2 linked regions of the Oryzias latipes genome follow. The protein of the gene in region 2 purifies or fractionates together with the protein of the main gene of each other region. This does not show direct contact. Links are inferred from orthologs where the notes say so. Each region holds a gene or a part of one and is shown on either strand. Other genes may lie near its edges.

Evidence for each region. Proteins that work in one complex are often made in the same cells at the same time.
Region 1: the proteins of trove2 (region 2) and ssb purify together in Homo sapiens (affinity purification with mass spectrometry; 3 studies listed by BioGRID and IntAct, with this or other methods). This does not show direct contact. The link is inferred for Oryzias latipes from reciprocal best matches to the Homo sapiens genes RO60 and SSB.

The regions. Positions count from the first base shown.
Region 1 is NC_019879.2:21,752,362-21,755,947, forward strand, and holds the end of ssb (lupus La protein), read left to right. Parts: intron 1-264; coding exon 265-336; intron 337-418; coding exon 419-461; intron 462-1,424; coding exon 1,425-1,565; intron 1,566-1,644; coding exon 1,645-1,831; intron 1,832-1,922; coding exon 1,923-2,051; intron 2,052-2,129; coding exon 2,130-2,209; 3' UTR 2,210-2,288; coding exon of another isoform or gene 2,289-2,330; 3' UTR 2,331-2,650; downstream 2,651-3,586. Other genes in the region: mettl5 (methyltransferase-like protein 5), read right to left, coding at 2,289-2,330, 2,695-2,744, 2,815-2,866, 2,951-3,033. UniProt on the Homo sapiens protein: Binds to the 3' poly(U) terminus of nascent RNA polymerase III transcripts, protecting them from exonuclease digestion and facilitating their folding and maturation.
Region 2 is NC_019875.2:16,903,294-16,908,207, reverse strand, and holds the start of trove2 (60 kDa SS-A/Ro ribonucleoprotein), read right to left. Parts: upstream 3,201-4,914; 5' UTR 3,064-3,200; intron 2,432-3,063; 5' UTR 2,388-2,431; coding exon 1,823-2,387; intron 702-1,822; coding exon 481-701; intron 251-480; coding exon 104-250; intron 15-103; coding exon 1-14. Other genes in the region: regulator of G-protein signaling 21-like, read right to left, coding at 4,638-4,914. UniProt on the Homo sapiens protein: RNA-binding protein that binds to misfolded non-coding RNAs, pre-5S rRNA, and several small cytoplasmic RNA molecules known as Y RNAs.

The sequences.
Region 1 (3,586 bases), on a different chromosome or scaffold from region 2:
CTCTGTTGCCAAACACAAACAGCCATTTGACACTACCGCTCATAAAAATGAAAAAAAAAAAACTAAATTCAAGTAGAAAGCAGCCGACATCAGTCCAATATGAGAGTAGATCTTTACAGTAAAGAATTGGAGGATTTAACAGTTTTGTGATTTAGCTGGAAATCCATTCAATCCCTCACTCATGTTCGACTTAGTTCTTTGGTGATGGTTGTTACATTTGTGGCTTTTCCAAATATTGAAACTATTTTAACATGTTTCTTGCAGGGAAGCCTACCACGAAATGAAGGCAAAAGAGAAAAAACAGTTCAAAGTGGAGACCAAAGCTAAAGCCAGACAGTAGGAACGCCTGCTTTATATACTTATTGGTAGCTTTTATTTTGAAAACTGAATCTCATTTAATACTTTTTTTTTTCTTTAGGGAAAGGGAGCAACAACAAAAAAATGCTGAAGAAACAGAAATGGTAAGCTGCCCCGAGTTTATACAAATACTTGACATATGTGTGAATAATGCACATTATTTAAATGCATAGTTTTTTTCCATTTCTGCACCAAAAATGCTTGGCTGAAATTACTACGTTTTTTTCGGTAAAACTGTCGTTTTCTAGAACAAAGTTTCTGCAGAGCGACAATAGTTTATTAGAAATTCATCGCAGTTGTTGGTGAGAAGTAAGCCCACGCTAACATGTAAGCCTCCCACCACAGCCCCCCACAACCCCAACCGAACATTAGCAGTGAAACAAAAATGCAGAGCAATATCTGAGCTATCCAGCGGAACAGTTTGGATCCAGATTCCAGCTCAGACGAGGAAAACAAAGACATTCATGGATCCATTTGTCTGCAAGTGGATGCATCAGAATGGAGCAGAGCAGGAAGCTTGTGGCCCTCTAATTGTAGTTTCCACCCAACAATCTACAATCTGCACCACGGGGGCGGCCGTGGTGCAGCGGTAGGGCGGTCGACCCATGATCATAAGATTGCAGGTTCGATTCCCGCCTTGCACGCCCATGTGTCGAAGTGTCCTTGGGCAAGACACTGAACCCCACCTTGCCTCTGGTGGGAGGTTGGCGCCAGTGTTCGGCAGCGGAGCTGCCGCCAGTGTGTGAATGTGTGTGTGCATGGGTGAATGGGACTGTGACTGTAAAGCGCTTTGGGCCTTCGTAAGAAGGTAGAAAGCGCTATATAAGTATACGCCATTTACCATTTACCATCTTTTTCAAACTACTTTTTTTTCCCCGTCTGCTCCTGATTCACCACAATTTGAATAAATACTCAAAAAGGCAGTTTTAATTTTCTTTATAAAAGTCCTCCATCTTGAGAAAAATGCTACAAGAACATGTTCAAAACACAATTTTCACTGAAGTGGGTCTTCATAAAATAAAGCTTCTTAAATTCTCAACTGGTTTTACGTTGATCTGCTTTTATAGGGACGTCTTTTGGAGGAACAGACGGGTTGTCTGCTGAAATTTTCTGGGGAGCTTGAAGACGTGTCAAGAGAAGATTTTCACAAACTGTTTTCAGGCCATGGAAACATTAAGTGGGTTGACTTTGCCAGAGGGGCCAAGGAGGTAAGCTAGCTTAGTACGAATAACATTAGAAAGGTCAAGTCCACAAGACTGTTCTTTTCAGCTTTTTTTTCCCAAAAAGGGCACCCTCCTTTTTGATGGAAATGCCAAGGAAGCCTTTGAAAAAGCCAAAGAAGCAAATGGGGGGGAACTGAAAATCAAGGACAACGTTGTTACGTGGGAGCTGCTGGAGGGAGACGAAGAGAAAGAAGTGATGAAGAAAATCATCGGAGCTCAACAAGAATCATTTAACAGATCTAAAGGAAGGGGTAAGTTCTTTATCTTCTGACCTAATGTGTCAAAAAACTCAAACCTTTTAAAGTTAAATTGTTTATTAATGTTGCTTTTTTGACTTACAAGGAGGAAGAGGACGATCAGGTGGGAGAGGAAGAGGAGGCTGGAGGGGAAGAGCTGGGAAAGGTCAAGGCAGAACTCCGTTCCAAGGAAAGAAGACAAAGTTTAACAGTGATGACGAGGAGGAGGAAGATGGTATGTTTAATGCAAGTAAAAACTTAATTTCTATTTTTTATAAATACAACATTAGTCTGTTTTCTGCTCTTCTTTCAGCTCCTGCTCCCCAAAAGAGAGAACTCGAAGACGGTGATGGCCCTGCAGCAAAAGTTGCCAAAACTGAAAATGGATCTTAATGACGAGAAAGCAGTTTTGTTTTTTTTATTCAAAACATTTATTACAAATAGACAAGTTAAATCCATTCCAGTGAAAGCTTCAGGCCTTGGAGAAACGTAGGAAGTCCACCTGAATATCGACCTAGAAGAAGAAATGTAAAGCTTAGGTTCAGTTTGCAGCCTTCAAGTTTATGTTGTGCCTCTCAAATTATTTGGATGATTTTCCTCTGAAGAGATTTTGTTTTTAGTCAACATAAACCTGCTTTCAACAATAATTTAATTTCTCCAGAATGTTTTAGTTGCTTTTTTTCTTTTCCTTTTTTTTAAAGACGTGTGATATTTGCAACGTATGTGCCGCATTGTTTTGTGTTTGTAGACTTCCTACACTGAGAAAATATGTACTTGGTTATTTTTTTTAAGTAAGCATATGAGAATAGAAAATAAAACATTTATAAAAACAAACAGACCTGCTTTTATTCTGACAGTGCGTGTGTTTAAAGGTTTACCGATTTCTTTTTGTGAAACTTGTAAGATGCTGGCAAATCATATCGTAGCTCTGAAGAAGAAGAAAAAAGTTTATTTATTTGGAGAGTTTAAAGAAATGTTTGACCTTGAACTTTACTGACCTGCAATGACTTCCATTTTTACTCCCCAATCTTTAGCCTTTTTTTGTATGTGCTGGAAATGGATAAAGAATAATGTCAAATTCTTAAAGATTCAGAAAAAAAAGACCAGGAAACATTGGAAAGCAGCTGAACTCGCCTCCCGCGTTGAAGTCTTGTGAAGCGAATACACGGCCGTTTCTGCCATTGTCAAAGCAGCTCTGAGAAACTTCATGTCCATACCTTGAAGCAAGGCCACATGGAATTAAATTTACATGCAAGCAGCGTGCCTGAGTACAATACATTTTCAGAAACTTAAAAAGTCCATTAGAAAATTGAACCAAGTAAAATTTCACTGTTTTTAGGGTTTTGGTAGTTAATCTGCCATCAAATTATATAGCCATTCTTGATGTCTAACACACAAGGTTAATTTTCTAAACATTTAATTTGATTTATTTCAGGCATTGTAGTCAAATCAATTAAGGATTTACCCACGTTTATCAAACTCATAACAGAAATGATCAAATGCATAGATTAAAAAAATCACTTAAATCACATATGCTTAATTAAAAACAGTGATCATTAAAGTCAAGTAGAGCTTGATTTATTGCTTGACAAGGAGTGAGAAGAAGCGATCTTATATAATCCCACCCCTACCGAGTTAATTCATTTTAAAATCCAGTTCTGATCAGATTCTTTCCAAGTAACAAAATCCAGTGTCTAGAAATGATTATTGTCAGAAAATATTCATTCATGATTTCAGTCAACAGTAACTGTTATGTAATAATCATTGATT
Region 2 (4,914 bases):
GGATGGATCTTTGCCTGGCGGTTTAAAAACAAATGTAAAAAGCTTAAATCATTCATCATGTGTAATTAAAAGCACATTAGTAAAACCTCGTTTGAGTTTAAACCTTCTTCAGTGCTGCTTCATCCCGAATTCTTTCACATAAAGATTGCGTTGTGGAGCTTCCTGGCTCCAAGACTTTATTAGCCGTCATCCTCCCCAGGATCTTCAGCACCGAATGGAGAGGCATGTCCTTCAACAGAGATCTCCATACCTTCAAAAAAGATGCAACGACATCAGCATTCCCACATTAGACGCATGCAGGGATGTTGTTGGGTTCTTTACTTTTTCTGCAGCTACACCAGGAGGCGTAGGAAAAAAAAAAAAACTCATAAGAAAATAAAATGCAAATTTTCCAAATGATTTTCTTGTGTGTCAAGTTGGTGAAGCGGAAGCTTATTTGCAAAAATCCCAGAAGAAACCTCATATGTGAAAACATCTCACCTGCTTGGATTTCAGGTTCTCTGTGAGCAGCTGCTCCATCTCCAGCTTGTGCTCCTCTATTAGATTAATGACCACCGTTTCATCACAACTGTGCTTCACCTTCTCTACCGCTTCCAGGTATGAGAGCACTTTGACCACCTCGTCAGAGTTTTCTTTGTCTGCATAGTAGGCCTGGACCTCCGTCCATCCTTTTGTTACATATTTGCTGATCAGGGCAACGGCTGCAAACCGGGACAGACATTAGAATCATTTTCAAGCAGGAACATTATAACCTCTGGCAAATCTTGAGTTTAAAAAGTTACAAAATCCCAAATGTTTAGAAAGTTGGCTATATTTTAAACATGTTGGTTTAATTTATGTCTATAAAATTTTGCACCAAATACGTACCAAACTGTCATTCATGTTTATAGAGCGCATGGCTACAGTACACAAAAAGGTTTTAGCAAGAACTCAAAAAGGCTACCTGCTATGTATCTAGGTATGTACCGATCTGATCGGGAATCGGGGCCGATCACGTAGTTTCAGGCTATCCAAATCCGATGTTGTATCCCGATCAGGGATGGGATCTTTTAACTATTACCATCATGACCAGTGCTACATATTTCAAGCTTCCTTCAAGTAAATGCCCATGTAGAAGCCTACATATCATGACTGGATCATGACATTTTATAGTGCAGCAGAATATGGCACTATTTGGAGCAGATAAAAGTGTTAGCAAACTATTCACAAATTCTGGGCTAAATAACTCTTTGAATAAACGTTTTGAACTGACAGCAAGTGTCTATTCGTTTTTCCTAATGCAAACAAAACCCTTCAATGAGGAATAATCGGAGAGATGGCTCCAGGAAAAGGTGATCATAGATAAAAATTCATAATCACTCAAAAACAACCAAATCAAATAAACTATGAGCTAGTCATGAATGCTCATCGTCCTTTTCTTGCTACAATGATTATAGAAGTCATTGCTTTTAATGGCGATATAAATCACATATGACCATAAATGTTCAAGGGTTCTAAAAATACTAATGCTACAGACACCAAACTTTTTCACTTGACTTATTGTCCCCTATTTTTACAAGTTCATTTTTAACTATTGTTGTTGCTTGGTTGTTCAAGCTATTTCCTAGACATTCTTGTTTAAGTGTTAACTGATAAAAGAAATATGTTTAATAAGAATAGATGAGAATCTGGATATGTTTATTATATTTGTTCTTTTTTTTATGTGTTACAATAGTATCAGCAGATCCTCAAAATCAAACGACTGATTGGGGGCACAAAAAAAAAATCCGATCGGGATATTTCTATGTAACCATTCTACAACAACTAAAAATAAAAAGCTCACCTTCTGTGGATGGTTTGGTGTGAGACAGTCTGAGAAGATCCTTGTGTGACCAGCCTTCTCTCTGCCTACATCGAGTCACAGTTGCAGCTAGAGCCATGGCATCTTGCTTATTATACCAGTCTGACACCGCCTTCCTCAGGGCGCGCCCCCAGATCCCACACTCCATCCTTTCTCTCAGTTCCTTTTTGTACTGAATAACAGCAAACAAATGGGCAGGGTCCGAGCAAATGTCCTTCAGTGCTTTGAATGCTGCCTTTCTGGTATTTAGCTTGGAGTGCTGGGAGCATAAAGCCAGGGCAAAAAAAGTGGGGCCTAATCGAACGGCCAGCCCCTTCTGCACAAACCTTCTGATCTCCTCCACCACTTCAGCACCACCCTCCTCCTCTTGAAGTAAGGAGAGCAGGGCCTCAGCATTGTCCACGCTGACGTGGCTCTCACCTTTGGCAGTGAAAATGTCTCCCTCTGAGCCGTAGCAGAGGAAGCGCCGCAGTCGGATTTTGTCCGTGATCTCCCATGGATCCTCAGCACTTGTGTGATTGTTTGTAGAGTTTGCCGGGGGCTCCATTGAGAAACTGGAAGGTCTGAGACAGAGGTAAACGAAGATGGAGCCTGCAGAGAACACAGAGTATGGAATTTCACAGGAAGTTTGACTTGTTTTTTTTTTTTGTGGTGGGGGTAGCTGGTCAAACGTCAGCTTTTTTTTCTCGCGATCAACAGCAAACAGCACCAGAACGAATGACGTCCAGTAACATTTCTTTACTGATAGCTTTACTGATAGGCAAAAATAGACTAAAGCCGATTAGGGACCATAATGATAGGTGGAAGAAAGCAAGACTCAGTTACTGAGATAATGCAGACCAAAGCGAATTGCATGTTTGAGGCGGTTAGGACAACTGACTCTCCAGCTACGGCGTTTTCAAACTAAGCTAGTTCTGACGAGTTTGCTAACATTATTATAACGTTCTCTTCAAAATATAAAAAACAATAAGGTAACAGTATTAGACAAGTAAAGAATCTTGACTAATATGTTCAGAAAATACACAAAATATTTGCTTAATTTGTTTTTTAGCCAAAACTTTAACTTCAGCGATTTGAGCTGAACTCTAGTCTAGAGTAAACCAACGGTTGATTAGCTGTCTGCTGACTCACTAAATGAAAACGGTAAGTTCACAGTCAACATATTATTTCTTCAAACAGTCAAAATATATACCGTCTACTATATGACATAGACACGGACATACCGCGGGGAAAATGCAAAAAAATGAAGTTAGGACGCAGAATAAATAATTCTGCGAGGCCTCCCGATGGAGCGGCAGAGTTTAGGGGCAGCACCGCGGTGGCTGTTGGGAGATAGTTGAGTACACGCAGGCGCAGAACAGTTCATTCGGCAAAGGCGCTGAGAATTCTGGGATTTTTATTTTTGTGGAATTTTACAATGTTTTGTACATTTTATTTTTATGTTAATGTGCCCAAAAATACACGACATAACGCAAAATGTGATGTGCTGGAAAAATGCATATTTAATTAAAAAGCTTTCATTCATTTGTTAACGTTATAAGCTCTAAACCTAAACAAGAACAAAAGAAGAACGAGTTTTATATTTCTCCCACTTGTGATTGGTGCCGATACTGATCTTAATGATCATTTACACTAGACTCAAATATCCTAGTTATCTCTCCTGATTCTCAGGTTTGCTCTAGCAAACATTTAGATGGAAATCTACTGTCACTTCTGCTGTTATTTTTACATTTTCCATTTTAGCTCCATGTTTAATGCTCATCTAACCTCCAGGTTATTTTTTTAACGTTTTAATGTGTTAGTTTTTGAAGCATTTATGTCATAGTCAACCAATACTGACAAATGACAGCAGAAAGAGGGGTATCATACATATGTGGGGAAGAAAAACAATCAAAATTATTCTTTTCTGCCACTTGCTTCTCTGTTCTTTTTAGATATACCTACATGTTGATATCGTCATAAAGTTTGCATAAACTTTGCATCTCATTTTTTCATGTAGCTGTCCCGTGTAGTCAGAATCTTCACTTACAACAGTCTTCTGCATTCTTTTTATTTATTTTCTCCTTGTGGCCATATTTTGCCCAAATGGTACCACACTGATCCTTTAAACATGCAACAAATTGATGAGGAATGACCTGAAAAACAGAACGATAAAACTCACTTGTATGTTTTCTGATCAATCATTTAGGGAGGTTTCTCTGGTCATCATGTAACTACCATACCCAATCTTGAAAACCAACCAGATACATAATGGAGTTGTCCACTTGTGCCCTTTATGGTCTGATATCACTTGGAAAAGTGACAACGTGATTAAAGAAAACAACAGGTGGGGGGGACTAAATTATAAACCAAATTATACTTAAAATAAAACTTTTATTTTATCAATGGAACATTGTGTTAATACTCTCTGATTCTGCAGCACTGATCTACAATGATCTACACACAAAAGCAATTGGTCATGATTTCATTTTGCTTGTACTTCCCCCAAGACACCACTAGATAGCACACTTAATCAAATCAACTGTCAGGTCACAAAAATGAGTTTCATCCCAGCAACTAAACAAAAAACAGATATATATAAAAAATATATTTTCATAAATAGTATTTCATTCAAAAACAATTCTGCTTAAATGTGTGTTATCACTGGAATTTTTTTGTTTTTTGCTTTTAGTCATTTCCAGTTGTTAACTTGCTGGGCCGAGTTATGGTGCTGCAAATGTGGAGGTACCTACATGAATGTCACAGCACCACATCTGCCTGTGTGACATTTTGCATATACGTATCAGCTCAACTAAAGTCAGTGCTCATGCCAGAGCAGAAGGCCATCCTGCAGCCTTTTCACTTCCAGCTCATCCCCTGCAGACTTTATCCTCATGGCTGCGCGGTGTTTCCGAAGACCGCGTGGTTTAGAGGCCGCACCAGTGAGAACTTTGTAGTGCTCGGACTGCAAAAAGCGCGAGAAAGAGTCGTTCTCCATCAGGCTGAAGATTTTCTTCTGTGCCACGACAAAGCACGATGGACCTGGCTGCTGCAAACTCTGGCAGATGACTTTTGTCGTGTTGAAATCTAGGTTT